Linked DNA regions of Drosophila melanogaster. The protein of the gene in region 1 interacts with the protein of each later gene in a pairwise test. Each region holds a gene or a part of one and is shown on either strand. Other genes may lie near its edges.

What was found.
Region 2: the proteins of mus304 (region 1) and CG9519 interact in a two-hybrid assay, tested with the Drosophila melanogaster proteins (one large-scale study listed by BioGRID).
Region 3: the proteins of mus304 (region 1) and CG13840 interact in a two-hybrid assay, tested with the Drosophila melanogaster proteins (one large-scale study listed by BioGRID).
Region 4: the proteins of mus304 (region 1) and CG14655 interact in a two-hybrid assay, tested with the Drosophila melanogaster proteins (one large-scale study listed by BioGRID).

The regions. Positions count from the first base shown.
Region 1 is NT_037436.4:18,105,840-18,114,725, reverse strand, and holds mus304 (mutagen-sensitive 304), read right to left. Parts: upstream 4,913-8,886; 5' UTR 4,812-4,912; coding exon 4,176-4,811; intron 4,097-4,175; coding exon 2,596-4,096; intron 2,523-2,595; coding exon 2,343-2,522; intron 2,277-2,342; coding exon 2,053-2,276; 3' UTR 1,879-2,052; downstream 1-1,878. Other genes in the region: CG32195 (uncharacterized protein), read right to left, coding at 1-300; Polr3D (RNA polymerase III subunit D), read left to right, coding at 5,334-5,566, 5,626-6,005, 6,078-6,146, 6,199-6,764; mRpS26 (mitochondrial ribosomal protein S26), read right to left, coding at 7,291-7,759, 7,856-8,064. UniProt on the Drosophila melanogaster protein: DNA damage checkpoint protein required for chromosome break repair and for genomic stability during development.
Region 2 is NC_004354.4:14,852,522-14,860,335, forward strand, and holds CG9519 (uncharacterized protein), read right to left. Parts: upstream 3,841-7,814; 5' UTR 3,783-3,840; coding exon 1,914-3,782; 3' UTR 1,807-1,913; downstream 1-1,806. Other genes in the region: CG9521 (uncharacterized protein), read right to left, coding at 1-601; CG46399 (uncharacterized protein), read left to right, coding at 6,836-7,426.
Region 3 is NT_033777.3:22,812,885-22,820,304, reverse strand, and holds CG13840 (uncharacterized protein), read left to right. Parts: upstream 1-4,126; 5' UTR 4,127-4,267; coding exon 4,268-5,668; 3' UTR 5,669-5,822; downstream 5,823-7,420.
Region 4 is NT_033777.3:4,775,330-4,783,751, reverse strand, and holds CG14655 (uncharacterized protein), read left to right. Parts: upstream 1-3,449; 5' UTR 3,450-3,677; coding exon 3,678-4,133; intron 4,134-4,632; coding exon 4,633-5,242; intron 5,243-5,412; coding exon 5,413-5,924; 3' UTR 5,925-6,255; downstream 6,256-8,422. Other genes in the region: Ccdc39 (Coiled-coil domain containing protein 39), read left to right, coding at 1-1,465, 1,787-2,481; atms (antimeros), read right to left, coding at 6,313-6,888, 6,948-7,914, 7,973-8,046.

The DNA.
Region 1 (8,886 bases):
TGGAGCTTCTTCAAGAATGGCTTGCATGGCAGGCAGGAGTACCTCGAACATATCCTTTTCGTTGGTGCCCAGTGCAGCGGCGGCGGGCAGCAGATCCTTGAGAATATATTTTCCTGATTCGAGAGCGCCATCGGGTGACCTGCGAAAGACCAACGCCACCCGGTAGATGACGCTGCAAAAGTTCTCGCCCTTCTGGCTCACCGCCTTGATGTGAAAGTTCTCAACGCGAAGCATTTCACAACCATAAGCTCTCGCCAAAGCTCTCTCGAAGTATTCCGCACTGTAAATTTCCCGCTCCATAGTTATACGACTTTTCAGATGAGACCTCGCCAACCGACTGAGCCCATGTATGGTGCACTAGTTACGAAATTATCTCTGAATTACAAAAAGTATATCTGGAAGCTTTGCGGTTATCACTGCACGCATGATCAGCACAGAAAACAATTTACTTTTCACTTCAGATTCTTCACATCTTGTACATTTCAACATTGGTGAAATGGTTTCATTCACTTATTTAATAGTCACATGTAATACATAATTTACGCTGTAAATACGCTTAGGTTTTTCGATTTAAAACGCAATTTAACCCCTTTGTGAAGAAAACAGATAACGTTTTGGATGTTGTAAAATAGTCTTAGAATTTTTAAATTCGCAATTTTACAAGAAAAAAATTCTAAAAATATAATTTTATAAAAATAAAATTAATCTGATGAAGAAACTTTTCTACGTGTAGATCTAGAGAATATCCGTTTTGCGGAATTAAATAATAAAGTGTTCTGGTAAGCACACCCCAAACAAAGCGGAATTGTCGGCGGCTTAACTGAACCACTTGATAAAATTATAATTTATAAAAATTAGTTAAGTGGAGCCATTGAGTGGCCATCGGTTAAGTTTGTCGAAATTAAACTTTGCACACGGGGACATTGTTAAGATAATTGGAAAATCTTCATAGATATGCTAAGAGCAACGTGATGATATTCTTGAGTTGAAGATGATAAAGATAAGATTGCCTCACGGAAAAATTTTGAGGATTACATTTCAGGCTCAGCAATTTTCGGCTCTTCTACAAATGAATTCCTTAAAATATGCCTCACTATATTAAGCAGTCTTTAGATGATATAGTAAAGATAATGAAAAGAAAATAACGATAAGGAAATAAATATCATTTAAGATAAATAAACGGCTAAATAAATAAATAAGAGTTTAGTTTAATAATCGTTTAACTGGTAAAAAGAGATGTATTTAATATTCTGTATATGCGAGTACAGGTATAATCATATGAAGGAATGATTTCTGATTACATTGGGGAAGGATCATAATACATACGTATATCATACATCATACATCTTACATACATACATATATATATTTATATACATATATACATATATACATATATATATATGTATACAGAAATGCATGTTAAAAATATATGCATGTGAAACGAAAAAAACAAAAGTTCTTAGATGTTTTGTTCTATGATCATATTACAATGATACTTTCTTATTATTGTGAGAAGGAAGTATTTGTTTATTTGAACCCACCTTTGCGAATGTTTATTAAATCAACAAATATAAGCATTTGCATTGAATCACGCTTATTGCAGTAAGCACCATAAGTGCACGTTGAACTTTTAATCAGAATACATTATTTTATACACAATAAGCACGGGTTTAAAATGTAAATGCTGAAAAACATCTAAATATTTACAAAATTAAGAAAAGCATCGCGCTTACAAACTAGTTCCATGCAAACTGAACTGGTTAAATTGAGCCATATCAGCTGTTTTATCAAGTTCCTTCGAAACGATAAGCTGAACCACCAACAAATATTTTGTATTATCGATTCGTAAATTGATATCGAAATGAAAAATCGATTATTTAGCGGTTTCTTTAAACGCTGCATTACATATTTGTATTTTGGAATGCGTTTTTTAAGCTCTAAATTTGTGCAGCGAGCCTTTTCAATTCTTAACATAGCATTTGAAACTTCACAATAAATTAACGCCACACCTATATGTATATATTACTAAAACGTTTAAGCTAACTATAACTACTCAAAAGTGTTCTCCTCCCGTTTAAGGGCACTAAAGAAGTCGGTGTTGAGTAATTTGCTGGGATCAACTGTCACAGCCGACTTCACAGCCCTTTGGTCATCCGCATTCTTGACAATGCGTTTCCATTCGGAGAGGTCGTTGACTGGATTATTGGGCTTGGCCTCCAGATGAAGGGGTTTCAGCATGAAATGGGCTTTAACCAGTTGGTTTAACAAACGCACTAAATGACAGGAAAATATTTAAAAAGTTAGCAACGGAAAATATGGAATGTTGTTAGGTCATTTACAATGTATTGACTGAAAACCAAGCAGGTTCGCATGCTCGCTCCACCAGTTGCATATGAGGCTAAGGTAATGCTTGGTCGTCTCCTCGGAGTCGCGAAACAGACAGGTGAGGTAATACTCGTGAAAGACAAGGGACAGAAGGTGCACTGCGATGCGGGAGATCTCGCCAACTTCTTCGGTGCCTAAATAGAAAGCACAAATATTGATTCGTGTCATTGATCATATGAAAATGATTTTTTTTTAGCTCAAACGCACCTGCTTTCCTGCTGTGCAACATCCATTGGTGCATCACCTGGAAGACAATTGTTACCGCACTGAGGCACAACTTTACATAGCACTCGCAGCCTTTTCCTCGCTGCGTTGTACTTGAATTTGAATTTTGATTCGGGTTCGAAACAGACGCTGATGTCGATCCATTGGAGACCGATCCCTGCACAGCTCCTGTGGAGTTGAAGCTCAGACTGGTGCCTGTTTTCATCAGAGTACCATCGCTGGAGTCCTCGTCGCCATCGTCGGCAAAGTAAGGCAGCATTTCAAGTATGAAATCCGGTGGGTTTTTGAAGCACTCGAACGCGAATCGCACATGATTTCCTCCGATCTTGAGCAGCAACTGAAAGTAGTCCTGCCGCAGAGGAGTTTCACTAAAGAAGCATAGCTCGAGTAGGCCCGCGTAGACCTGAAGTAAACAGGAGTCGGGACCAAATCGATAAACGGAGCGAACGCGATCCGATACAAAGCAGTCCTTGGGACTATTCACACACATTTTATCCATAAGTTGGGGATGTCTAAGGCAGCTTAAAAAGCAGGAGCTAAGCTCAGCAAAAACCCAAGGACTGGGACGAGTAAAAACTAACTGCTTAAGCAGATCGAAGAGTAGCTCCTCGTTATGTTGAAGAAGGGCATTTTCTTGTAGGAGGCTATTTAGGAGTGAAGTCAAGGCTTCCAGCAATCCAAAGTGTTGGCCGACCTCGTAGGAAAATCCTAGTTTTGTGATAGCTTCAATAGCCATATCTAGCAGTCCCAGATCATTTTCTTTCCACTCCGTGAGACCTCTAGAAATCCTTTCCTCTCGCCGGCAAATCAAAGCCAAGGTAGCTATGAAGCGACGCAGCGGAACAGCCTTTTCGTTATCATACAAACAGCTCTGATGGGTCAGGGAAATGCGATGAACTTCCTCCTCTAGGTTGTGGGGATTGTAGGGATACAGCATGCAGTTGTGTGGAAAGTCCAAACTTTGAGCATACGAAGCAAACTCCGTGAATACCTTGCCGACCGACGAGAGTATTCTTGGCAGGAGGTTATCCACAGATTCCGGCTTTGCCTGCAGCCGAGCGTAATGAAGTAGCAGTTGCTTTAATTCCAGTTCAAAATGATTTCTTCGTTTCTTAGTCTGATCCTCATTTTCGCTGTATTCGAACACACTGCCATTATCGGTTTTCAGCCCGGGCACAGATCTGTGTATGTTAAGCCTATTCAAGCGAAGTGATAAGCGTTTCTCCAAAGGATCTGGAGCAGCCTGTAAAATGCTCATGCTGGAATTCATGCTTCTTTCATGGGCTTTTTGCTGTGTCTTCAACTTTGAGAACTCGGCGTTCTTAATCTTCAACTCGATGTCCTTGGCCGCAATTTGTTTGGCCGCTTCTGCCACTTTTTTGTTGCAATCCCGATTCGTTTCGTCGGCCAAAGCCAGCTTTTCCATTTTGCTAGCCTGCAGCTGCTGGCGCAAGTGCTTCAGCTCATCACGAAGTAAGGAAACCTAGAGAAATAAATATAAATGGATTAGTTTCTGTAAGGTCTAGAATCGGTGTTATAGTTCCACCCCGATGTCCACCTACCTCACCAGACTTGATCTCATTGCGTTCCTTACTGTCGCCCAAATTCTTTTCCAGCTGCGCGTTTTCCCGCTTAAGGGCTTCAATCCTATCCATGAGAAACTTTAGCTGATGCTCCTGCTGGCGGGATTGCGTGGCATTGATGGTCGTCGTGGTCGTGGTTTTCTGCTGAACACTTATGCTGCTGGTAGTTATCCTACTTGTGCTGGTCTTCGGCTCCGGCATCTTTTGTGGCTCACTGTCCATGAGGGTAACGGCCAGAAAATCGAAATCATCATCATCCGCGAAAATCGCATCCATATCCAGGGAAGTAGGCTTCTTTTGTGGCGGCGGTGGCGGCGGAAACATTTGCTGTGTGCTGGTTGAGCCCTGAAAAGTGGGTGCAAATTCGCTGAAGGTGACCTCGCTGTTGCCGATGTCCACCTCTGTTCCGCCCTTCTTTTTCCGCTCCTCCGCCTCGATTTCCGCCTCCGCCAGCTGGGTGGCCATCAGGATGACATCGTCATCGTCGTCCCAGAGAATCCCATCGAAATTGTTCCTCGGTGGACTGGGTCGCGCTGATCCGCGGGTAACGCTAACATCCAGGCGCGGTTTCTTGCACCGCGCGAAGTCTTTCATGGCAGAAAAGCGCTTGGCCATGGTTCCTCCAGTTTCCGCTATATTTCGTTACTTTTTGGCCATGGAAAGTCGTAGATTATTTTGCCGGTTTGCTTTGTTTATAAAATGTAGAGCTCAACTAGCGTTGCCAGATGGATTTGATCGCAACGATGGATTTGCCCAACCAAAATAGAGATTATGTTTCGAATCCATGTTGCATAGAAAAATACTACATTAGGATTTACTGCAACAAAAAGCCAGTTTTGTAATATCGCTCTTTGTTATTATGCTGGTTTTTTTTAAGCGCCGATAGAAACCCGCTACAATCACAGTTTCAAAATCCGATTAATATTGAGCAAAACCAAAGTCATCTGGCTACACTCAAGTCTATCGACTGCGGTGTATCGGCATGTGGTGTATCGACTCAGCTTTCCCATTAACCTCAAAGGAAAATCAAAGAATTCTGCGGAAATTCTAGCCCAAAACTAAAGGACTTACGGGGAAACCAGAACCCAGCGACTTCGGTCGAATTTTCGAGGTGACGGGCGGCGCGAATGGAACGCCATGCCAGCGAAGAGGATGACGGTCACCACAGCAGCAGCTTCGACCATCAGTGGAGCCAGTGGGTCCACCACGAATAATGGTCAGTCTGGTGGCGGTGCACGCCCACTGGAGACGCTAAACGGAATGACCAGGCTGACCCCCGCCCGCGACTTGACCCTTGGTGGGCGCGGCGCTGGGACAGCCAGCAAAAAGGTCTTTGCTCCCAATTTGAATGCTGTGCGCAATAAAAATGCGTGAGTTGTGGAATGGCCCAGGGGGAGTCATTCTTTTCATCATCTCATTTGATTCACAGCAATGTCAAGACATCCAAGGACACCACGCAGCCAAGGAGCGGCCGCAGAGGTGGACGTGGCAACGGCACTGGAGCAACACGTGGTCGAGGTGGAAATTCCGCTGGCGGGGGCAACTCCACGCTCATCCAAACCCAGGGACTCTTCTCCGAAGGAGCAGGCGATGTTCATGTGCGAAGGTCCACAGGAAATGGAACGGCATATGCACGGGGCGGTGAGGAGGTGTCCGTGACCAGGAAACGGGTGGATCGCAAGGACGACAAGAGCCAGGCCGAGCGGATCAAGGAGCTCTTGGGCGAGTCGGACGCCAGTGGCGGCGAGCTCAGCGAAGAGGAGGCTAACAAGACTGAGATGGCACTCAGGCCCATCCTGCTAAAAGAGGGTACGTTTTACAAGCACTTTTTGATGCACACGGGCAGAAGAAATTCATGCTTTATTTGTTTATAAACGTTAGGACTCTGGGTCACCCAGAAGACACCGATTGCGAAGCAAGAAATCGCCAGTTCAACCTCAACACTTAAGGGTAAGGCGCTAAGCTTTAAAAATGGCATAATCTAATTTGATTTCGCTCCTAGACACTTTGGCAGTGGCCCAGCATTTGCAACAGCTGCATGTGGCTGCCCAGGCAGCCAGTTTAGAGGAACCTCCGCTGCAGTACGGTCGCTACCCACGCACCATTGGTAACTTTCTGGACTCCAGCGAAGCGCAGATCTTTCTCATGCAACTGCCAGATGTGTTGCCATGTGTGGGCGACGATTCCGAAGATCCGGAACCGTCTAAAGGAGATCATCAGGCCACCAGTGAATCGGAACCAGCAAGTCCTGCAGACAAATGCTCAAACGGACCCAAGGGCAGTGTACTACGGCAGCTGGAAGAAGGGCAGATCGGCAAGATTCTGAGGTACAAATCCGGTCGCGTTAAACTCCAATTGGGGGACACACGCTTTGACTTGGATATGGGTCTCGATCCGGGTTTTCTGCAGGAACTCATGTCTGTAACCGCCAATCGCGAGCAACGTAGTGGAAACATGATCAACTTGGGACCCATTCAAGCCAAACTAAAGGCCACTCCAGATTGGGTGCACCTTTTCCAGCAGCAGGATGCGGCATCCAAGCGAACGAATCCAGTACCGGGCACGTAGCACCCACTTCCCCATGGTAGATATGTAATATAGTAAATAGGCTGCGCCTAAGCTTAAGTTATTCCTATTCTAAATGCCGTATATAAAAGTTAAATATAGAAATTTTTATAATACAAATGCTTTTCAAAAGGTTATTAACAATTGTACTCGAATATGGAACATAAAAGAGACTCCAAGAAAGATGGGCTTGGAACTTGGGGATATGTAACGTAAATTAAGCCATCAATACTTAATGCAATGACCCAAGATTAATTTTTAGGTTAATGGATTGTTGATATATTATATGTTCAAATTAAGTGATTATTATAATTTCAAATACGGTCTTAAAATTTGAAAAGTATTCTAGTTCTAGCAAATCGCTTTACAATAGCTAGGTTATCCAATTCCTATTCTTTTGCGCAAATCAAATATACTTAAGTGTGTTGTTTATTGTGCAGAAAAATAAAAAAAAACACGGACTTTCAACTTTGGTTAGAAACCTATAAAAAGCATTTTAATGTAACAACAAACTAAGACACTGCATTAATTAATTACTCAAAACTTGCTGGTTGGGTTCGGGAGTGGCGTCCGGGAGCTGAGAGGTGCTTCGTCCGTGGTAAAGATTACCGGCCATATCGATGGCGAAATTGTGGTCCACGGGATTGGCCAACGCTGTCTCAATGGCTGCATCCAAGTTTTCCCTAGTGATATAGTTCTTGGAACGCTCAATCTCGAGCAGCACCCGCTGGTTGGCCTGCTCCTTGCGCTCCTCCTCGCGCAGCTGTTGTGCCTCCAATCGCTCCTGAATATAGGCCACCTTTTCCTCACGCTTCTTGGCCAATCGCTGATCACGCTCCTTGGCTATGGCAGCGTTCCAGGCAGCATTGGCATCCAGGCATTTCTGGAACTCGGCCTCCTCCTGCTCGGGAGTGAGCACGATGTGATCTGCTGTGGATGTTTCCTCGTGGCGGACGACTTCCTCCCTTAGAAACTGACGCACTGAGCGAAGCTGCGTTCTGAAATCAAGGCGTAGATTGTTTTGTATAACGTCTTTTGAAACCGATTACAAATTATCTTTGACCAGAGACAGAATCTGGCGCTGGTGCACGCACTTGTACTGGTTGTGTAGCCTCATGAGCTCCGTGCGCTCCTCCTCCGACTGCTTCTTGCGTTCAGGCACGCGGAACATCTTGCTCTTGGCCACCGGCAGCCATCGCGGTTTCCTGCGCCAGCGGACGAACTCGAGGGCGAAACTATTTCCGACCGTCTTCCCGGTGGGCAGGGTGGACTGCGTCAGCAGCTGGCATCCCGCTCGCAGCATTATAAAAGCAGTTTAATTAACAAAATGTAATTTTTACTTTGCCGCTGCTGAACTGTTGTGCAACTCTGTTGTCGGTGAACTGGTTCCGCGCAGTTCGATTGCTGGTTCCGTCAGTGATGACCAATATGGAAAATCGAAGAATCAAGGAATAAATCAATCTTAACAAATCAAATTCAGATAGAAAGGCAATAGTAATTTGGTTGTCAACTTACTAAATTTATTGTCGTACATATTCATATTAAAATATAATTATATACTCAGCTACATAGATATATTTTTAGGTACAGCTTAATTTTGCGTTGCTAACAAGTTTTTGCAATTAAATTGCGCAGGTTATGAATGTTTTTTATTTGTCCAAAGATACAAGCTTTGAAGTCCAGACAGATCTGTTGTGAAAATAGCCAAACTTCCAACGCACTAGTGCGTTTCTCACAATTGCGCTGCGCTCAGCTCGGGCTTAAAAGCTTTTGGCCAGGTGAACTTGACGGGAAGGTACGAAAAGTAACTGCTCACTCAGTCGACGATATATCGCCGCGCTGGCCGCATTAAAATCCGAGCTACGGAACTTCGCTGTTTCGCCTCTTGTACGTGGGCTAACTTAAAACAAAAGTGGCTTGCGCAGCCGGCGCGCCTTGAAAGTGTGTGTGTGTTCGTGTTTAAAAAAATAGTGTGCGTTATTGAAAAGCTAAGTCAGTTAGAAGCAGTGTGGAAAGTGCATATTGTATATATCTCTTGCCAAGGCTAAAAGTGTTAAAAGTTAACTCCCAGAAATGCACACACGCATACCGATGCAAGCGAAAAGTTAAAGCGACGATCATTCAT
Region 2 (7,814 bases), on another chromosome or scaffold:
CATTGCGACCAACATAATCCTCCTCAGCATCGGGCACACTGCTGCCCTCGTATTTCTTGAAATACGGCAGCACATCCTTGAAGCTCCAACCCGGGTTACCCAGGGCCTCCCAGCGATCGTAATCGCGGCGATTGCCCCTGGTGTACATCATATAGTTGAGCACCGAGCTACCACCCATCACCTTGCCCCTGGGCCAATTGCACCGATTGTTGTTCATCGCCAGGCAGGCGTGATCAGATGGCTGTGTCCTGTATTTCCAGTTCATCTCGCCCAGTTGCAGAAAATGCGCCACAATTGGCACATCCATGACGAGTCGCTCGGGACCACCGGCCTCCAGGAGCAGCACTCGCCACTGCGGATTCTCTGAGAGTCGGGCGGCCAGGGCACAACCAGCCGTTCCGGCGCCGACAACTATAAAATCATACTCGCTATCCAGTATCACATTGTTGTCATAGTTCTCCAGCTCAACGTCCGCCTGGCCGCGTCTCAGAAAGTTGATCGTCTCGAAAAGGACGTTATTGTTATTCTGGGCAGAAATTTGACTCCATGTGGCCATATATGCCAGGCACAGGCCTACAAATATCAGCGATTTGCTTGCCATTATTGGGCCTTTAGTTACTTGTAACGATTTCTTCAGCACTATTCACACCGATTGCACAGTCAAAAAAAAAATATATATATATGAATATAGCTGGATATGATAGACGAACGCGTTCTGAGTTCTTGTGATCGACGCGATCGCGAGCGTGTTGCCCAATCGAATACGTAACTAGAAATGCTGACAAATGCGGTGGCCAAGTTCAATTTAATATTAAATTCGGCGGCGATCGGCGAACGAAACGATCGCTTTGCGAATCTCTCGGCACTCGGTTTTTAGTTTTCGGGTTTTTCGGTTTCTTCGGCTCGCCAAGAATCTTCAAATCTTTCGGAAGACTTGACTATGGACACGTTCACAACCATCTGCGCAGACAAACACAAAGACGAAGATCGGTTTAAAATTGAAAGCTCGGACGATCTGAATCTGAATTGGAAACTGAAAATGTATCTGTAGTTTTTGACATTGACTTAAGCCAGCCAGATCGACGAGATCGTTAGCAACTGTGAATAAGATGCGGAAGCCGTGGTGTCAAAACATTAAAGGGCCTCCCATGGCTAGAAAACCGCTGGTTAAAAGATCCTCATCGATTGATTTTGGACTACTGTAATTAGCATAGTGTCATCGTGATTCTGCGTGATTCTTCTTTTTAGCAGAAGAATTCGGGCGGGGTTCTTCGATGAACCTGTCGCCGATGTCTCTGGCTAAATGTCAAACCAGATCTTATATAATTATGTACATAATATAGAATTTTATAGTTCTAAATGTCTATCGGTTACTTCAGCTTTTTATATTAAGCAGCATGCTTATCAAAAATATTTATTATTTATGCCAACGAAAATATAGTAAAATAATCTTTTTATAGACTAGTTGTTATTGTACACCTATTACACCTGTAAAATTTAGGTTTAAATGCAGGAAATAATCGAATCTTTCATTACTTTTAGGCTTCATTTAAGATTGATGACAAACCAGCAATAATTTCTAATTGATTTGCTGTTTCTCTGTGTAATTTTGTATAATTTGCAAACAAATTGAAATATCATCGAAAGAATCATAAATCAATGTTATTGTAATTTCTTTTTAATGGCGACAAATTGACAACAAAGTTCTCATTTATCTATTACCCTTTTCTTAATTTGAATTTTTCTTTTATTGATATTTAAAAACTTTGAACATAGAAGAACTGATAGAACAAACTATCAGAGTTTGTACTGTATTGTATCGTCTTTAATTCACTAGAAATCACTCAATGGAATAATATTATATACATATCTTAAGATAACCCATCGGCTTAAGAAAACATAGTGTGCTTGCTCTATACGAAGTTATGATCCTCCTTAATCATATCGGCTGCTTTTTCAGCTATTAGGTAGACGGGTCCATTGGGATGACCCGAGATCAAATAGGGCATAATGCTTGCATCCACAACGCGCAGTTTGTCGATGCCATGGACCCGCAGTCGGGCATCCACCACCGCCGAGGGATCCGATCGAGGACCCATCTTGGCGGTTCCTGAATAGTGGTAAATGGTGAAGGTAAAGTGTCGTGCATAACATGCCCAATAGGCGCTGCTCTTCCATTTATATTTCGCACAATTGGGTATTCTCTTTTCTAATAAGTGTGCACCGATTGCCTTAAATGCGGGCATATCCAGTAAACTTACTGCCTGCTCGATGCCGCGAACTGTGATGTTCATGTCATAGGGATTTGCGAAGTAGTTGGCATAGATCCGTGGATGCTCCTCGGGATTTCGGCTCTTCAGCTTGATGCGACCGCGACTCTTGGCGCGCAAAATCATCGGGAATATCAAAAAGCCATTGGCACTCTGGCGTTCCAGTTCGCCAAACATGGTCTCATAGATATTCGATTGGATGCCCAATGCCAGACGTAGGGCCAAATTCGTTTGCAAACCACCGCCCACCACAAAGAGTTCCATATCGGCCCAAGCATCGGGATTACGTGCATCGTCCAGGGCGTAGAATGATATGGCCTCCACACCACCCGGTATGCGGAGCACTCCGCGTCCCTTCAGGAAATCTGACATTGCCTCCGAGCGGAACATCTCGCTCGTTTGCAGCGAACTCACATTGCACAAGAAGCTGATAGCCGGAGCTATGTGATCCTGGAGGTTGTAGCCAACGGCCAGATCGGCCAGTGGCTTTATGCCCATCTCCCGCAAATGTTTAGCGGGTCCCACGCCGGAGAGCATCAGTAGCTGGGGTGTATTGATGGCACCCGCCGATAGAATGACCTCTTTTCTGGCCAAAATCTTTTGCATTTTGCCATCCATTTTGACGATTATACCAAATGCCGATTTCGTCTGCGGATCAATCAAGATCTTGGTAACCAAGGCATTCTTCTTCACATGAAGATTTCGACGCTTTCCCTTAATGGGATACAGATACGCTCGATTGGAGCTCCAACGGGTCTCATTGTAGATATTCGCCTGCAGATAGGACACACGAATCTGTTTATCTCCATTGTAGTCACCTCGCGGCAATCCTGCATCTTGGGTGGCTCCCACAAAGGCGTCTGCGATGCGAGTCCTCGTCTCCGAGTAGCTCACCTTCACCGGCCCATTGCGTCCCACCAGATTCTCATCGGCATCCGGCACTACGCTGCCCTCGTACTTCTTGAAATAGGGTAGTACCTCCTCGTAACTCCAGCCCGGATTGCCCAAACGTGCCCAGCGATCGTAGTCGCGGCGATTGCCCCTGGTGTACATCATATAGTTGAGCACCGAGCTGCCACCCATCACCTTGCCCCTGGGCCAATTGCAGCGATTGTTGTTCATGGCCAGGCAATAGCTATTCGATGGCTCCGTTTTGTACTTCCAGTTGATTTCGCCCAGCTGCAAGAGATGCGCCACAATTGGTATGTCCATGGCATAGTTCTCGGGACCACCGGCCTCCAGGAGTAGCACTCGCCACCGGGGATTCTCGGAGAGTCGCGCGGCTAGGGCACAACCAGCTGTGCCGGCACCAACCACTATGAAATCATATTTCGTCGTTATGACCTGACCCTCGTCCAGATTCTCCAGATCCAATTGCGCCTGACCGCGACGATAGATCTCGAGCATATCCATCAATGCATTGCCCGTGTCAGTCTGGCTAATCACCATTGAGAACTCCAGTAGCCAGACGACAAGAAGGGTTCCGATGTGATTTCGTGGCGAAGTCATCATGGAGCTTCATCACCTTGCAGCCAGACTCACTCGACTGCCGCGATCGACTGGAACGTTGAGTTCTAAGAGCAGAACTAAAACCTAGAGGCTGGGGGTAAATGCAACTACAAAACTCATGGGGGCCCTGCACTGTTGACAATTACGGCTTTTGGTCCGAACTATAAGTCTAGTTCGAGACTTATTTTGTATATTTTCCAACAACAGTGGAAACTTAGAGTATGTGTGGAAGAACAATTGTACAATTGATCGATCGATCGATCCAATGATCGTTAACATTCCAGCCAAAATGCAGTGCGAATGCACAAATGAAATGATTCGCGGGGTATCGTATATTCTAAATTGTGTGCTGAATATAGAAAACGCTTAATAACGGGGTCTGATCTAATAATCATTTCGATGCGTTGTGGCTAAGGGAAAATAACAACGAAATTAGAACTTGGAGGTGACGATAAAATAGTGACTGGTATAATTATTACATCAGAGCTACTGATTATTATAGGATTCATAGGGGGAATAACAGAATATCTTGAACTTTAATTGCTTGCAAAACCATATGGGTATGAAGTTATATCCGGTATAGCAATAATATTATAAGAAATATGTAAATGGAAAATTTTACGAAATATTGCGGTTGCCAAGTGTAATGGCAGTGTTTAAATGATATAAATAGAACCATGAAATATAGCCATAAATATACCATGACAAAAGTGGAAAACGTAAATTTGAAAAGCAAATATGCCAATAGGATTTCATTTACGAAATAAACCCAACATTATAAACTCAAGACACCAAGAATGGCAAGAGTATTACTAAAAGGTTTATGGTAATTGGCAAATGGTAATTAACTCATCTAAACTATTTATTTGTTAATTTATTGATTTGTTTCCAAATAATCACTGGGCAAACGATCAGTAGTCGCTTCTAATTGTACTTGCTTACTAGTAAATGGTGAATGGATTCGGAGGCATGTAATGTTTGTTTTTATGCATGGGGCTCGTTTTTTTTTTTTTTGTATTTTTTTTTTATTTTTTTTGGTTTCTTTGAAGCAAAGCTTTGTGTTTAGTAAGTAATTTTTATAATTATTTCCGCTTGCATGTGAATATTCGTGAGCTTAGAATGGGAGAGCCCACGAGAGTCGATTGGCAGTTTGGCAGACGCTGTGAAAAATTCCAAGATACTCCATACGCCCCCGGCTTGGAAACTTGGTGGCTTACTTGGCAACGTAAACTTGGCCAGTCGACCGCAACCGTATGACATACTAAAAAGAGTAAAAAAACAAAAAAAAATGTATACAAAATAAAAATAAATTAAAATGGTGCTTAATGCTTTTTTTTTGATGTGTTCTCCGCCCCAAATGGCGTCGTTCTGATGGTATATGTTTTGCCGAAGGACATCGCCCAGATATTCCGTTTGCACAGGGAGTATATCATCATCATCATCGCAGGAGCACACGATCGGCATACAAATGAGGTTCGTAAGTGTTAAGAACCCTCGACAAAACCATCTGAAGGGCATCCCAGAACCAATCTCCGTTGACATTCAAGCCCAAATGAGCCGATACGCTGGACACTTTGGAGTCAAGGCTAAAAAAGCATTGCGGCTTCCAATTTCGCAATTCGTCTGCGATTCGCGGGCTTCAAGTTCGTTGTGCTGCCATTCGATTATATGCAGTGCAAACAATTCTTGTGAATTCAAACAAATTAAAACTTATAATTCTTAAGCTATTGAAAAATATGAAAGTAATCAACATATCGATTAGTCTTCTTCATTTTTCTGCAATATTTGTGAGCTCTGTATTCGAGTTGCCATTTAAGAAGGTAGTGGTGGTTTTTTTTTTTGGCCAGTGCATCCAGCTAACGGCAATTAATGCTGCTGTGACTCTTACTATCGATAGGTATTGTGCTGGCTGAGATACAGCAACAAAATGTGTGTTTCTGTTCGCATAAAGTCAAGAATTTAAGCAAACTCGTTGTCTTTGACCGAGTTTTCATAGTTGGCAACTGCCGATTTTGGCCAAGCTGCTCTTTGCACTGACTGACAATTCGTTTATTTGGGGCCTCGACCATGTCTTTAGTGACTTTTTGACACTCACTGGCTGTAGTTTATGGCATTCGATGGCGGCAAAATAGGATGCCAAAGCATTTAACTGAAGGATTTCTCTCTAGTTATTAAATTTAATATGAATCGAATTTCCCTGTTGATACAGCTGATAGCTTGACATTCTGCCGAATGACTGGCAGAATTTGAGAAAATTTGCTGGCCATAAAATGTTCTTAACTTAACCATAAAACGCGTCTTATGGGTTTTTTTTCCATTCTTTTGTTTTGTTGGTGTCGATTAATTGCGTTGACTTCGATCATCATGACAAAGCAACTCGTTCACTATGAAAAATTTGCATAGACAATGTTTTAGATGTGGTAATATTTGCCGATCGAAAAACAGTTAAGAGATCTCATTCCTGATTAAAGCGAAAAACAAGTTTTTTTTCGCATTTTGTTACATTTGAAAAATATGTTCAAAAAGAGATATAGATTTTTGCAAGAACTAAGAGGCTCGATGTTTTATGAATGAATGAAGGTAAAATATATATTCAAGGTTTTTATTTACCATATAATATATATATATATTTCTTAACACCAACTGAATACTGAGCATACGAAAAAACATTTCGTCGCTTATTTGTACATTTTCTTAGCTTAATTTAAACATGTTATTTTTTCAAAGCGGGTGTTTCCTATTTCGACATGCTAAATACAGCAGCTTTATTATCTTGTATTTTACGACAGGCCATTACAGGCAGTCACTTAGGAGGGTACACACAAAAAAATATTATTTCCGGATACATAATATAGGGAAAATATGTTGCTTTGAAGTTTTCAATAAGGAAAACCTTTTACAAATTGTAGCTAACATCAATATATGTATGTATATATTTCTTGCTGAACAATCATCTTTTGTTTAAGTCGAGTAGGTCAACCAAGAACTGTCAAAATTTCAAAATAATAGAGCATAAACCGGAAACTTTGGTCATATCACATCTAAAACTCTGAAAAATGCACAAACCAGCTGTAAGGGAACGTAAACCTAGGATTACATTCTATCCTAAGACTTTACCTCTATCAAGAAGATTTTCAAGTTCGACAAGTTCCGACAGTGAGCCAAGTTGTTCACAAAAATATTTAAAAAACGTACAAATCAATAGGATCTCAGCTGAAACTCTGGGTCCAAATCCCATTTGCTTTAGTGTCCAATATCGTAGTCCTAGTCATTCCGAAAAGGGTTACGATGCGGATACCGATGATCTATGTGATGATGAAGATGATGATGAAGGGGATAATACCACAATCACGAGTCAGCAGAATTGTATCCCATCAAGCTCAAGTCCTTTGAAAAATTTTGTACTCCCAGATTCGATTCCATCTCATAGATTTGGTGGATTTCTAAATGTCCTCTCTCGCAGTTTGTATCAATCATTGGCCAGGATTGCGACTGGGATTGGATTGAGACATCAGCAAACTGCATGGTACAAGAACTGCTGGCAAAGTCCTGGTTCCAAGCCAAAAAGTGTCCATCTTATGGATCCATCCGCGCCCAAATTGGTTGCGCCAAAACATCAAAACAGCGACAGTTCCACAACTAATTAATATCGTTTACATTTAGCCCCGAATTGCAATAGTCTGTAAAATAGATGTTCAAAAATATAATCTCAAACAGCCAAATATACGTAGTCTTTTCATTTAATCAATAAATTGAAATATACATTATGTACAACCGGAACCAATGCATAAATATTGTACAAGAATTACTTCCTTTAAATATTATTGCATTTTATTAAGTGATTTCCATAATTCGATTACACATTGTAGGAAGTCAAGCTGAGTAAATGAATCAATTATTGAGACTTCCCCCGAATTTTTGGAGCCGCAACAAATCGATTCATTTGCAGATGATTGACATGACAAAGCAGAACAGAAGTTGAATAACATTTTGATACGATCATAATGCGCATAATTGCTATACGCCAACGCGAAC
Region 3 (7,420 bases), on another chromosome or scaffold:
TTTGTTTCGCCCAAAACTTTTCGAATTGTTTTGCGGCATTCTTTCTTGGCAATATGCAGCAATTATTAAGATTAATACTTCTAATATGATGAGCCTTGGCCACAAGAGCGTGACCGAGATGTGTGAGGTCAGGCTGATGTGTTTTTAATGAGTTGAAGGATGCGCATGCCCCCAGGACTCGATGGCAGCAATTAAGGAGCATTAATTAATATTAAATCTATTTCAATGGCTATTAAATGGTATAATTCCTAGATGCCCACGGACAAAAAGCCGCAAAAGCCGCAAGTAGATGATGCAAAACTTTTTGCCCGCCAGTCAGCCGGGCAAAATGAAAATTTCATTAGCCGCAAAGGCCAAATGAATTTCGCACCGCCATTTCGAATTCGCCTTTTCGAGTGAAAAGTTTTCAACTTAGACCCAAACAGGACACATGTTACAAAATTGGCAAATAAATTTCAAGTACTACCAAACTTGCTGCTGTGCGCATTCCGAATGCAAATGAAATGCACGCGATTGTTGATCGGCGGGGTGAAGGGGGAGGGGCTGCAAAAAAAAGGGGGGGAATTTATTTAACTCCGCCGAAAGAAAACGAAACGAACTGAGCTGAACTGGAGTGAAAGCCGGGCTGCATTTTCTTATGACCGAGGGCAGGAAAATATTTTCCAAGGCATTTCAATTTGGCCCCGCAATACGCGTAATTGAAATTTGTATTTGTGTGGAACGTGTAGGCGAAAACAAAACCTAAAAAAGAAAATCAAATGAAATAGGAGGTGCTCCTCCTTGCTGGCCAAAGACGAGCAAAAAGGAATAGGGCACTAGGAAACTTCGTCCTGCGTCCTGAAGAAAGACCAATTAAGAGCCGCGGCGTGGAATTTTGATTGCGGTTTGCAAATTTCCAGCGCTCCAGACCAGGAATTCAGCTAACGGGCCTCACACGCAGCATGCTTTTGGCCAAAAGCGGAAGGTAATGAAAAATTTCATTTTTTCAACTTCCCCCTCCCCCCTCTTACACGAAACCATGGTCACTTTGCCGCACATTAGAACTGTTGATATTTATTTAAAAACCTGGCCAGCGTTGACATTCAAGTCAATCGAAAAGTTTGCACAAAACGCGAGGCGGTGTCCTCGGTCACCTGAGTCAACAGCAAAGCGGAGTGACTCTCTCCATTTAGCAAAAATCAAAAAAAAAAAAAACAGGCAATGAAATGCTGCCAGTTACTTTTGCCAAGGAATTCCAAAAAAGTTCCATGAACCAGTAAATAAATGGGGAAGCAACGTAGCACTGAAAAAAAAGTGTAGTAAAGATTTTATAACTATATTTACAAGGCAAAGGTTCTTCATAAAAAGAAAACTTTTGTAAATGCAAAAAAGCATTGTAGAGTAAAAAACTTTTTTTTTTAATAATTTACCTCAACTTTCTAAAATTTAAATACTGTTTACCTAACTGAACTATCTGCATATCAAATGGCCTATAATTTGATTAATCAAACACTATAGTTACCCTAAAATGCTTTTTAGCCAGCTTTGATTGGCATATTTCATAAATTCATATGCATATATAAATATCTCCATAAAAAATGCAATAACGAAAAAGGGTAAAAAAAAAATGCGCATTTCAAATTATAAATTCAAATTCGAAGAATTTAATCACGTATACGAATTTTTCCTGTGCCACAATACGAAATAATAAAAGTGCCTCAAAAACTTTGAGCCCCTGCCCCGCGAAACCAGGACCGCAAATTGTTTAAAACAAGCATTGAACAAAAAACTCAAGAAGCAACACAAACAGGCGGCTCAATTCCAGGAATAAAGCCGAAGGACATTGAATAAACTGTACGGTGAGGAGGTATGAGTGGGATGTGGGGACGGTAGGGCAATGGGGGACGACACTTGGCATTAGGGCCCAAACTATACAGCCAAGGCCAAGTTTTGGGCCAAATCTTTGTGGGGAGTGGACCAACAAACGAGGACGGAACGACCATCGGCATCGACGGCCGAAAGGCAATGGAACCGTAAATTCTATTGCATGACTTGATTAAATTCGCATGCAACGATGACCGTCGACCCCGAGTCACCCACAACATCGGAGTCCGCCGTATCCGCCGAAGCCTCTGAGTCCCCCATTAAAAAAAAAAAAACCCACCTCCGAGCGGGTCAAGCAAAGGCCAGCGACGTTGCCAACTATGCCATAGCTGGAATTTCTTGGCTATTTGCTGGCTGCCTTGGCTTCTGTTTTTGCTGGCTGCTGGATTTTTGCCTTTCCTTCGACCGTTTTCTCATTTTAACGTTTTAACGTGACTTAATGAAGTTTCAGTGTCACAGCAAAATCTGCTCCTGCTGCTCCTGCTGCTCCTCTCCGCCTGTTAATTTTATGATGGATTTTATGCAGAGCGCGCCAAAGAAAACTTTGAACTTTAATAAGTATGTGTATGCAGGCATTTAACTTTGCCATCGTTTTGTCGATTTTTTCTACTCACTTTTTTTTATTTTCTGTTCTTTTTTTTTTTAGTAGATTTTTTTCTTTACACATTTTGGCCATGTTAAGCTGGGTGGCTAGCTGGCTGGCTTCTTTTCTATGGGAACTTTGCTAAAATATGCTTCACAGGGCTTGAAAGCATTTGAAGTAATGAAAAAGAAGCGAAAAAAATTGCATCCAACAAGTATAACACACACACTCTCGTTCCAGGTGATATGGATGGGGAGGTTTAACTGTACAGTGAAGCTGCGCAAAATTTAACGAAGCTTAACCTCATTCAATGTGAAAATACACTTTACTTGTACTTTGCGCTGTTATTTCAAAAGTGCGGTGACGGTGGGCGTTGCTGCTAACGCCGCTCTAAGGGGGCGTGGCTAAGGTGGGTCTATATATATACAAATATATATATATATATGTATATAGAGAAAGGTGGCGATGCGAACCTGGTGAACTTTGCAAACTTAAATGCAGAGCAGAATGATGAATGATCCAAGGATGCCAGGCTAGCAACGAAAAGAACTCGCTCTATCTCCGTTTTTCGCCGACTTTCCCTTGATTTCCCGCCAGAGGCAACTACTCGCAGAGAAAATCACAAATATAAGATTAAAATCGGAAAATAACACTACAATACTTTAAACGAACTACGAATGGCAGAAAACACAAAAATGGTAACTAAGGTATAATATATCTATGTATCACATATTAAATGTATCTTCAATTCTACAAACCTGAATATAGAAATATTATAATCTTATATCAACTATTTTGCTGAGTGCACTATAAAATCGCTGAGAATGCTATTCCCGCAAAGGTTCTTTAAAATTGAATCACTTTAGACCCAAAGTGCATTGTCAGCTTTGAGTGAGTGAAGGCGTGGCTGGTAAATTATGCAAGAGCAACGATACCAAATGTCGTCGAATGCATCCAGATGAAAATTGAAAGTGCTGCAATCCGAGATCTCAGACGCGTTTCAAATCTCCGGCGATTGCACTTGGCAAAGACCGGACCGCAAGCACATGAAGCGCACGTCACCATTTGTGCAATCAAACATCGGAATGGCCGCGACATTGACCGCAAGCTGCCACACAGTGTGAAATCCGATGCGGCTGGGAGCCAACCGGTGCACAGTGGTTACAGCTATGTTGAAAATTATCAAATATTATGCTAGCTTAAAAAGGAAGCAATATTTATGCACTCAAAACAAAACTTACTTAATTTAATAACTTCATTTTTACCATTTTTATCACATCCACAATAGATTTTCTTTTTTAATTTTTGAGCCCTATTAGACCACAGTGCATAGGTCGATGTGCATTGCGGGCTAGCAATTGCGGTATAGCTGCGTATTTTGTGATTGCGAATTGTGCGGACAGCGGATCGCCGCCTCACTTGCATCTGAAAGGAACAACCAGAAAGGGACTATCTGGAACAGTTGGTGTGTGCCGCCGAGTGAAAGTGAGTGCCTGGGCATGGGCTTCCACTTACACAATCCATGGTGGATTGGCCAATGAACTTGAAGTGCCAACGAGGATATCCAATTACAAGTAGAGCGCTCCAAGCATTTGAAGAGTGTGTGTGTGCTATAAAAACAGCATCGCGATGTCACAAATTTGCATTTCAAAGCGGAGCAACACCCACGCCAGCTGCATCCAAACACGCACTCCGTTGGCGGATTGGAACAAAGGATATAGGACACAGGAGTTCAGGATTTCAGGACACACACAACCACCCAACGTTATGGGGCGGCCAAAATCCGGCCAAGGCTTTGGGTCACCTGCCACCAGTTCATTAATGATCTATGCATTAATGTGGCTCGCTTTGGCCATGACAATGGAGGCCATAGATGCCCCACTGCCCCTATCCCTGGCGGAGTACCCGCTCGGCCTGTCGCTGGAACATGGCAGCAAACACCATTACCAGGATGCGGGTGTGGACTCGTTGCCGGGATTAACAGGATATACGCGAAATTATTATGGCCCCACTGACACTGCAGCCGGCGATGACTTGGCAACATATGGAAATTATGCTCACAAACTCCTGGCCGCCACCCATCAACAGCACCATCGCCATTCGCAATCCTCCCTTGGCACCACGGCCAATGGCTTTGTGCCCTTCTACTACAACAGCAAACTGCACTCGCCATTCACCGCGGATGAGGAGCCGCGTCGCGACCCATCCGCCAATATCGATTTTGTCATTAATACGGCAAATTATGAGCCAAATTCCGCTGGCTACGATGTGGAGCCACATCATGGGGAGCAGCACTACGAAAGCTATGCATATCGGCCGCGGGTGCAGTTTGCCACATCGCTACCCGGTCCCAGCGATTACCATTTCGAACAAATTTCCAATTACCGGGAGAATCGCCAGCGGGAGCAGGAGGTGGAGCAACATCAGCAGCAGCAGCACCAGGAGCAGGAGGATATTACTAGTATCTATGCGCGGCTCAAAGAACTCCAGACACCGGCCAATCCAGTTAAGCGTCAGCAGGAAGAGTCCCTATCGAGTCATCATCCAAACCGGGAGCAAAGCCAGCCACTGGAGCAGCGACATTATCAGCAACCTGAAAGCAGACAGCTGCAACAGCCACACTTGCAACAACATCTGCAACAAAAGCGGCCACATGCGCTGCAATATCCTCAGGATCAACGGCATCACCAGCGCCTGGGAGTTGCCCAGGACCAGCAGATGTTGTACTCTCACAAGGATAGCCAGATTGCAGATCTCCCAGCCATAACCACCAGTGTGCACCATACTCCGGAGAGCAGTAAAGCGGTAGCCGGATTGCCGTTGGCCAAGCACATCGAGATCACTAAGAGTGTGCCCATCACCCACTATCAGAAGCAGCATGTGCCCTTCAAGCAGAACGTCCAGGTGCAAGTGCCACGAACCGTGATCGCAGCCATACCCAAGCCCATGCCCATCAAAATACCAGTGGCCCAAACGGTGGCCGTGCCCCAGATGCAAGAGGTTAAGATTCCCATCGAACGGGTGAAGCCGGTGCCCGTGGAGCGGCCCATTCCCTTTGTGGTTGAGCGCAGGGTACCCTACCGAGTGGAGAAGCCGGTGGTCTCGCCAGTTTATTATCCGTATCCGGTCAAAGTGCCAGTGGTGCGCACGGTGGTGCACAAGCAGCGCCCCCACTACGTGGCACCCGGCTGGAGTGCCAACGGCAATCATCTGCTGGGATGAGTCTATCTTAAGAATAAATTCTTAAGCCAGTTTTATACCCTTGCAAAAGGGGTTTTTTGATTTGTAAAGTAAAAGTACAAACTGTAGGGTAGTCGATAAATATATTTTTGGTGGAATGTTCTTAAGTTGAATTAAATACATTTATTAATTTTTCATGTTATGCAGTTTGATTAACGGCTAGAGTATTTCAAATTCAGCTTATGCCTTAATTTCTAGTGACTGAACCCCAAAAAGTAATTGCAATTAGCAAAACAAGAAGACAAAAAAGGCCACCGACAGCAACTGCAGTGTGGCTGCAAAAGCATCCAGCATGCAACTCCTTGATCCCAAATCCAAGTTTCTAACTCCCAGTTAACAGCTACCAAACAAAACAACACATTCGGAGTCGAAGTTGAAGTTGGAGTCACAGGGCAGGTCCCAAACCGAAATGAAGAAAAGTAGCCGAGTAAAACTTTTTAATTGAGCTAAAATCCAACAAATGCGGCTAATAAATATGTATTGAAGTGCGATGGGCAGAACGAGGCTGAAGTCCGGTTGCAATGCAAAAGGGGGCTGCAGCGAAAGTGCAAGAAAATGCAGCGGCTAATTGCCAAATGTAACTCCAGTTGAAACAACTTTTAACTGAAACAGCAGAAGGAGCAACAATGACGCACAAATAAACGCGACGTTCAACTTCGCCGAGGCGTTAACGAAACAGCAACAAAATTAGCCAAAAAGTAAAGTTCCAGCAAGGGTCGCGAAAAGTCGGGCCAGTAGTTTCTGGTTGGGGAAAGTGCTGCAAGTTATTGCCGGCTAATGAAATTAGCCCTAATTGACGTGGGAGCCATTCGACTCCATTTTTAGGGAGGCGAAGTGAGGAAGAACTCCGCACCCACCACACACAATATATGTAATATTCGGCAGCAAAGGAGAATTTAAGGAAAATGTTTGGGGAAAAATGAGTTCAAAGATTTGGGGTTTAAAGCGCTTTGACTACTTACTTAATACTCATTACTCAGCCACCTAGCGGTAGACCAACAAACCTAAGCTTACTGAGTCCTTCTTTTTCTTGGGAAAATTAAACGTTGGAAAATAGTTGCATTACTTTTCTAGCTGTGTACTAAATTTTGTAAATTCAATTCGTTGCAGGCCACATTATTAGCATTTATAAGCCACATACCTATGCTGAGGAAAACCGCAAAGCGACGGAAACCAACTAAAAATCAAATATAATAAGCATGCGTGCAAATCAACGCTTTTCCGTGAATCCCGCTGCTACACATGTAGTTGTGCAGTGGGTATGCAAATAGTAAATGGCGCTTGCAGCCGAATAAATGTGCATAAATTCATAATTGCACTGCCCACATTAACCGCTTCGTTAGGAATTTTGCTCATCTGACCACTGGCCACCACAGCCGGCGGCCGTTGGTCCCGTTTTCTGGCCACCGTAGCCCAAATCCAGTGTCTAACGTCCGACATCCAGGACTTCCCACTTCGCAGGCCAATGACAAAAGCCACAAAACGCAATGAACATGGCGCTCCGGTTAGATAGTTGACCGCGAATCTGCTGATGAGTCCCTCGTTTGTGCACATGTACCCTTTAACCCCGTAGCCGTTTAAACCCATAACCCTTTAACCCTGCCGCTGACATATACACATGCACATGCCAGATCAACAAATTGAATGCGATTGGGTGACAAACGACTGGGTAAAATCACCGGTTTCGATTGTTATAACACCATAGGCCAGTGGTCAGTGCATAGTGATTGCATT
Region 4 (8,422 bases), on another chromosome or scaffold:
ACCCAGCGAGAGCACGACATTCAGCGCAGCGAGATAGAGTGTGCGGAGCTGGCCCAGAAAGCCCAGCAGACGGCTCAGACCTACAAGGAGTACGACAACCAGCTAACCGAGGTCATCGAGAACAACCGCCAGGTGGAGCTCGCGATCGAGTCCCTCAACGAGGAAAGCTCCGACATGAAAAACCAAATCCAGATCCTGATTGATGCCACATTACTGAAGGAGCGCGAGATCGACGGACTGCGTCGGGAACTGGAGAACCTTTCGAACCGGGTTCACCTGCAGCGCATGGATAACCGTAGTCAGATGAAAAAGCGCGATGAGAAGGCCAAGGAGCTGGAGAACTTCGCTTCGGTGATGGAGAAGGTTAACGCTCGGCTGAAGTCTGTACAGAACAAGGCCCTCAATGCGGAGCAGCGGCTGCAAATTCTGGAGGAGATGATGCAGGCGGAGGAGACGGCTCTGCGAAACCTGGACAAGGAGCAGGAGAAGGTCAACGAGATGTTGTACCGCACCCAGAGGCAGGTCATCGAGCTGCAGGACGAGGAGAAGGTCTTGAAGGTGCAGAACGACTCGCTCAACTCCAACCTGGCAGCGATCAATCGCAATCAGCAGCAGGTCAATAACGAACTCAAGCGGCAGACGGAGATCCATTACAGCCTGTCCTTTAAGTGCTTGGAGGCGGAGCGGCGTCTCGCCGAGATCAAGGGTCTGGCAGATGACCCCGAGGTAGAGGCCACAAACATGGCCCGGCTTAACACTCTGGAGCAGGAGTATGAAAAGTTGCAACGCCTCATCGCCACCACGGAGGCGCAGAATAAGAAGCTAAACTATAACATGAACAACCTGGTCGTCCAGTACAACGCCGACGAGAAGGAGCTCGAAATGGTCAGGTTCAAGATTAAAGAGGCCCAGGTGTACTGCGAGGGCACCGTCAAGAGACTGCGCCAGATTCGATACGAGAATTCCGAGCTCATAGTCGACCTCAACATGGTCAAGATGCGCTGCAGCGACCTAGAGGTTGGCATCGGAGGCTGCGAGCAGGGCACCTACGACCTAGAGCAGCACCGCCTTGCCTTCCGGCGCGCCATCAAAGATCGCACCGTTGAGCTTCGCAGCCAAGAGGATGTGCTCCTCCTCAAGAAGAAGCATCTTAACGAGGAACTAAGCACCCTGCGAGCCGACCTCGGGGAGCGGAAGAAGCAGATTGAGGCGATGAAGGCGCGCTTTGAACTTACCGCCCAATTGCTAGGCAAAAACGAGGACGGCTCCATCATGACCAGCACACAGCTGAAGGTGGTGAGCGCCCAGGAACGGCAGATGCTGGCCGACGAGGGCGATGCCCTCAACAAAAAGGTTCTCAAGGCTGAGAAGGAAGTGGTCGCCCTGGAAAACACACTGCGCCAGTTCGACAAATCGAACGATAACTACCGAAAAACATTCCGATCTGTGGACGAAAACTCAAAGGGTGAGTTATAAATGACCATTCAGAGTGGAAAGGGTTACTAGTATTAGCAACATTGCTCTAATTTTGAATTTTAATAACACTCACAGATACAGATATTGAATAGGAACAAATTAGGTTTTCTGGCTCTATAAAGAATAGATATTCTTGATCAAGATCCATACCTGAGTCGATCTGGCCATTTCCGTCCGTCCGTTCCGACTTTCAGTAACTATAATAGCACATTAAGCGGTCATATTCTAGCCATGTCTACAAGCCGGGTGGCTTAGAATTGTGTAATTCAATGTTAAATTGGTAGATTTTTTCCATACTTCTAATTTCTAGATCGCGAGCGGGCCGAACTGGAGCTGAAGGAACTTGAGGCGGCCTACTGCCGCGAGCTGGAAAAACTGAAGGTTCTCAGGTGCAAGGCACAGCACTACCAGCAGAAGCACGCAGCCCAGCGAGCTGAGGAGGAAGACCTGATTTCCAAAATAGAGAAGGCGAAGGCTAGTCGGGCGGAGCACTCTGCAGTTCTGGAGAAGATCGAGCGCGAACTAGATGACCAGCGAATGAAGCTGGACAGGGCCAATCGAGAGATCCGGACACAGTTGCGGGAGATCAAGGCGCGGCCCTTTAGCGAGGAGTACCTGGCGCAGTTCGAGCGGGATCTGTCTCTACAGGAGCTGGAGGCGCGTAACACCAAGGCGCTGAACATGATCACCGATCTGGCGAACAGCGACGAGAGCGGCACGGATATAATTGGAATCCTCTTGCGAAAAGGAATCAAGTTGCCGATGCACCTGAAGCGCACGTGCAGCCGCGTGTCCTGGAACAGCAGCTCCTCGGGCAAGTCCTCGCAGGGTCAGGACACCGCCTCCTACCTCAATGTTAAGGGCAAGAAGTTCTCCTGCGACGGGGCTAGTGCCCGGTCCTCCGTCTCCGACATGAGCTCCCTTAAGGATGACACATCCTCCACAACCTCCCACTCCGGACTGAGCATCATATCGCTTGAGTTGCCCTTGCCGAAGAAAAAATAATAGTCTAAAATATATTTATTTATTATTCCGTTCGATATCCGATGATCTCAACCCGTATGCTCGTATCTTCACGTGTTGGCATCGCAGTGTTTACAAATTGACCATCTAAACGAAACAGCGAATAAAATGCGTTGCCCAAGCGGGTCAAAACAAGAGAGCATCGCGGCCATAAAAATAGCACACAGCGATTCAGTGGGGGTATAGCTCGGTGCACATACACATAGGCGGACAAATGTGTGTGTCTAGGCGATTGCTTGTTTAAATCGCTGAATAGTAAATACTCTACAAAAGTATTACACAAAATATGTATATTAGCTACCACCTTTGGTGTGGGTTTTGTATTGGTTTTGATCAGATCTCAAGTAAGCTCATTACAGCATTAAGATTTAGACGGATATGCTAATTCAATCTGAAATACTCAATCTTCGTATTTTCCTAATAAAGAAATATATATAATAATAATATTTTCTCAGTTCTTATTTACGAAAATGAAACGAATGATTTTCACTGGTCCGAAACTAAAATCGAAAGAAGAAATCTCCAATAAGAGTACATATTAATGTGTTTACTTTTTATGGAGTGCTTAAAAAATGGAGCGACAATTGCAGTAACCAACCATATTCCAATTGGATATTGGCGGAAAAGCCAATTATTAAACCAATCTGGCGATAATGATAGATCTCTAGATAAGTCCCGCAAATCGCATGTGGTCATCTCAGCGAATTGCTCCTGCGCATCGTGCGTTACAAAGACTAGAACGAAGGCTATATGGCCGCCAGTGCAACATATATCGGCCAGAAATAATTCTACATACATATAGTATATAGCCGTGCTCAGAGCTATATTTCGAAATGAGCTACCCAGAGACACGGAGAAAAGAGACTGCCTTGTTCGAGAGATGGGATTTCGGTGCTGCGAGTGTTTCCGAAAGTCTTCTTGACGATTCGACGATCCGCGCCGGGCATTTCATTATTTTTCATTATTTCGTTAGCTGGCATCGGTGCCGAGAAGTCAGATTGCTGGGCCCAAAGTTTTCAAAAATCTTCACTTGCTGATATTTTTAGAAAATTTTGAAAGCAGAAAGACTAGGCAGTCTGGGAATGGACTCCTGAATAGATGATCACAGACCGAACAGGAGGATAATCCCAATAGGAGGTGAAGCATTTGCATAAGATTCGATTGAGTGCACTGGCGAAATGTGTTCCACCTCGGTGCTGTGTCCGCTCTGCGCGGTGCCCAGTTTCGGCAGTATTGACGCACTGCAGCAGAGGCTGATCAAGGCGGCCAACGGCCCACTGGCCTGTCCCTTTGCCAACTGCAAGGAGCTCTTCCTGGGGCTGGACAAGCTCACCATCCACCTGTTCTCGCACACAAGTCTGATGGCTCAGGAGGGAAACGAGAGTCCAGCGAATGGCCAACCCGCCTCGTCCCGGGGCTTCCTTGCCGCAGCTCCTCCCAAACGGAGGGCCAAGCGAACCAGGTCCAAGCCCGTCGTCCCAACCCCACCGCCTGTGCGGACCACCCCGCCCGCCCACTGCGACATTTGCGAGTTCAGTTTCCGGAATACCGAGCTGAGGGACATGCACGTCCGCTTAGTCCACGAAAATGCGGAGGGAGAACCCAAGCAAAAGGAACCCCAACAGAAGGAACCGGTAACTATTGGCTATGTACATATATTAAGTGCTATTATCTAAAGAGTTTCGTAATGCACTTTCGCATATTCTTATATCGATTTTGATTTTTTTTTTCTATGCTCACTGGCAGCAAAAAAAAATCATACTTAAAAAGCTAGACCATTTACATTGAATCTGAAACAAAAGTTTGACGTAATTAAAATCAACAACAACAAGAAAGAAATCTATATACCCTTATATTTTAAAAACAACTGATGTATGTACGTATATCGTTCCCATTATTTTCAATTAATTTTTCAACTGTTCATATGACTATGTATATATATGATAGATATTAATTTGTTTTTGATCAATTTAAAACCATGGCAACTTTGTGATATAGTGAATGAAAGTGAATGATTTTTGTGCATAAATTTGAAACTGAGAGACAGACGGTAATGTAATGGAATATTTGGCCATGAGGGCATATTGATGAATTGATAAATATAAGTGAAATTCCGATTATTGCTTTATACAGGACCAGGAGCCCTACAAGTGCCATCTCTGCTCCAAGACGTTCCGAATGAAGGGCTCCCTTCGAATCCACCTGAAAGTAGTGCACATGATGGGCGTGCCCTGCTCCAATCCCAATCCAAATCCTAATCCCAGTCCTACACCCGCTTCTACCACCAGTGCAGTTACTGCCACGCCCAAGCTGAGCATTTGCGATCGCATTCGACACACAGAGCCTGGAGCCCTTGGCAACGGAAATAACTCCACGTGCACCGCATCCCAGCCATACGCGCTGAGTGGGGCGCTGAGCATGCTCCAGCAGTCCCCCAGTTCGCCGGAGTCGGGCACGGCCACCCCGAAGCTGTGGGAGTGCGATGTGTGCAGCAAGTCCTTCACCACCAAGTACTTTCTGAAGAAGCACAAGCGGCTCCACACCGGCGAGATGCCGTACACATGCGAGATCTGCGCCAGGACCTTCACCTTCCAGCAGTCGTACCACAAGCATTTGCTCTACCACAGCGAGGTAAAGCCCCATGTCTGCGGGGTTTGTGGACGCGCCTTCAAGGAACTGTCTACGCTGCATAACCACCAGAGGATTCACAGCGGCGAAAAGCCCTTCAAGTGCGAAGTCTGCGGTGAGTATCGATCAAACCCCTTAATTAGCCGCCCCTTATTTTGTTAGCCAGCTTATAAATGAGCATACTCCATTGCGATTTGCCCTATTTACTTTAAATGAAGGAGAGGTATACCTTCTTTTCCGGGTCACTCCATGTCTAACCTTTTCGTATTTCGGACTCGTCCACAGGCAAGTGTTTCCGGCAGCGAGTCTCTTTCCTTGTCCACACGCGCATCCACACGGGAGTGATGCCCTACAAGTGCGAGCTCTGCCAAAAGACGTTCAGGTACAAGGTCAGTCAAAGGACCCATCGATGTCCCACCGAGGAGGCCCAGACACCGGAGCAGCTGATAAAGGCGTTCCTGGAGGGCAACGACTCGCATACTCAGCCTTCACCAGCGAGCGCCGAAATAGCTGCCATCAACAGCAGCTCCATTGTGGATCCTGAGCAGGAGGCACTGCTTTCGCAGTCAATCGACGACATTGTCGTTGAGCAGTGCCAAAAGCTGGGCATCTGTGGTGTGGAGCCGCGGGAGGAGGGACAGCTCATATCCCTACAGCCGGTTGCGGTGGTACACTTCAGCGGGAATGGCTCTCCGCTGCAGCAACTCCAGAACTTGAGAATCTACTCACCGCAACAAACAGAGCTACCTAGTTCCGATGGCGAAGTCTTCCAGCGCTTTTTGATGGACGCCACGTAGTTGGAACGAAGATGCATATATCCACTTAATTTATACCCTTTTATATCATTTTACATTGTTTGCACTTCCCCAAAGGCGATCTAATCAATTCCTAAGCACCCCCTAAGAAAAACGTCTTAATTACATCTTCTTATGAGGATATTATTTGAATCTTAGTTGTTTTATCTCAGCCAAGTGTAAATCGACTAGGACCCGACTTGTTTGCAATACAACAACAACATCTAATATAAATTATGTTAAACTGCCGATTTTATTTAAAACTATTCTGGGCAACGAACCCGAGCGCTGAGTTGAGGCGAAAATGATATTAAATCGAGTTAGTTCAGTTTTCAAATGTACTTGGTTGATTATAAACTTATTTATTATGAACGCCGTTTTTTGTAATTAATCATTCATCTGAGGCGCTTCCAGAGCTGGATCCTGAACCAGAAGGCGAGCCACTGCGAGACCGGCTGGGCGATCGCGACCCAGAGCCAGATCTGGAGCCCGAACGTGATCGGGAACCGGACTTGGATCTCGACCTAGAACGCGACCGAGAGCCGGACTTGGAACGGGATCGGGAACGTGATACCGATCTCGATCTGGATCCGGATTTCTGGGATCCTGCCGGCGAATTTGTGCGTGATCTGGAGCCGCTACCAGACCGAGAACCAGACTTTGAGCGGCTGCTGGCCCGAGAGCCGGAGCCAGATCCAGATCCTGAACTGGACCCGCTGCGAGTTCGACTCCGAGAACGAGACTGTCGATCGCGGGCTACCTGGGCGGGTGAGTCCGCTCCAGATGCTGCCTGTGCGCCAACAGCTGCGTCCTCGCTCGTCTTCTCCGTCTCGCCAATGATTTGCATTTGCTCCTCTTCCCTCACTTCTTCCACGATCTCCTCCTCCTCGCCAGGAACTTCTAGCTGGCGCTCGCGATAGCGCTGCATACGATGCTCCATGCTGTCCAATGGACGATGCTTGACAACCTGGTAGAAATAATACAAAGTAAAGCTCGCTATAGATGTATGCGCATAAATATACTTACCAGCTTGGTGTTGTTGGGTTGCTGGCCAACCTTAACGCGACGCTTGTTAAGGCGCACACGGGTTTCTAGCTCGTTGTAGTAGATGCCGTCCTGACGCATCACGAAGAAGTAGTTTTCTTCGTAGCCCTTGGAAGCTTTGGTCTTCACGTTCCAGTTGTACTCTCGAGCGATCTTGTACTCGTACTCCTCCTCCTCCTTGTACAGCTCGCCATTGATGAAGTCTGTACGGCGTTTCTCCAGCGTCTGCTCTGTGGGCAGGAAGTAGGCGACAAACTGTTCGCCGCTCTCGTCCATCACACCACGAATCATGGCCTGCGACATCTCCTCCAGCTGGGCGGGCACGTTCTTGCCCGCAGGAGCGGGATCACTGTCAAATATGACCTGGGCGCACGGGAACTTCCAGTTGGTGAAGTCGGGGAAGATAGGCAGTACCTCCACTGGCACCACATTGGGCTTGGAATAGTGCTTGGTAATTTCGCTCTTGGTGTCGCTGAAGGTCTTCTCGATGGCTTTGATCTGGGCTTCGCGGTCCAGGTAGAGAGTCTCCTCCCGAAGCGACTTCTTGACGTTGTAACCGACCTTGGCCTCGATGTTCTCCAGGTTCTGGGGCTGGAAGCGCGTCTGCTCGGTGGAGATGTACTCGGATTTGCGCAACCATGACACCGTCCTCGAATGCTGGCGCGAACGCACAGAGTCTGTGGGCGTCAGAGTCTCCTCCTCCAGCAGTTTTTCATCGGCGGGGTCCAGCAGCGTCATGGAGTCGGCCTGATAGAGCTCCCGGTTAATCAGGTCCACCGTGACACCCAAATCGTGTTCCGTCAGCACGTCATACTTGAAGTTACGCTCTAGCGACGTTGGGTTGTACTGCACGAAGCGGTGGCTGTCGAAGGGGTACTGCAGAAACTTCAGATCAAATGGTATATCCGGCAGGTTGTTTCCATACTTCACGCGGCAAATGATCTCGGATCTGCAAGGTACACATCAGTCTGAGTATCTGGCGTCTGTTTAGGGATCTGTTCACTTACTTGCGCTCCGTTTGCCGCTGGGGTCGCTTTTCGGCGGCACTGTTTACCGCCGAATTGTTGATCGTGGGTGGCATTGTGTCTTCCAACAGGTAATTCAACTCAAGCCCCAGTTTTGGTAGCGCTTCTAGTCCATCAAGAGGCCAAATCTAGAAATCCTCAAATCTGCGCTTGGCAGTGTGACCGTACTTGACCGGTACGATAATACCTTCGGTAAAAAAAATACTATATTTCCGGGGACTCAAATGCAACATCCTCATCGTATATAACACAACATCTATTTGAATTTCATTTCCACAACTAATATTATGGATAATGCTTTATTATCATTTTCCAAGTTAGCGATAAATCACCCCACAAGCTGAAAAATCAACGTTTAAAAACGATTGATATTTTTTTTAATACTTTTTGGTTTTACTATTTGAATTTTTGTATACTTTTAGATTTTACTAT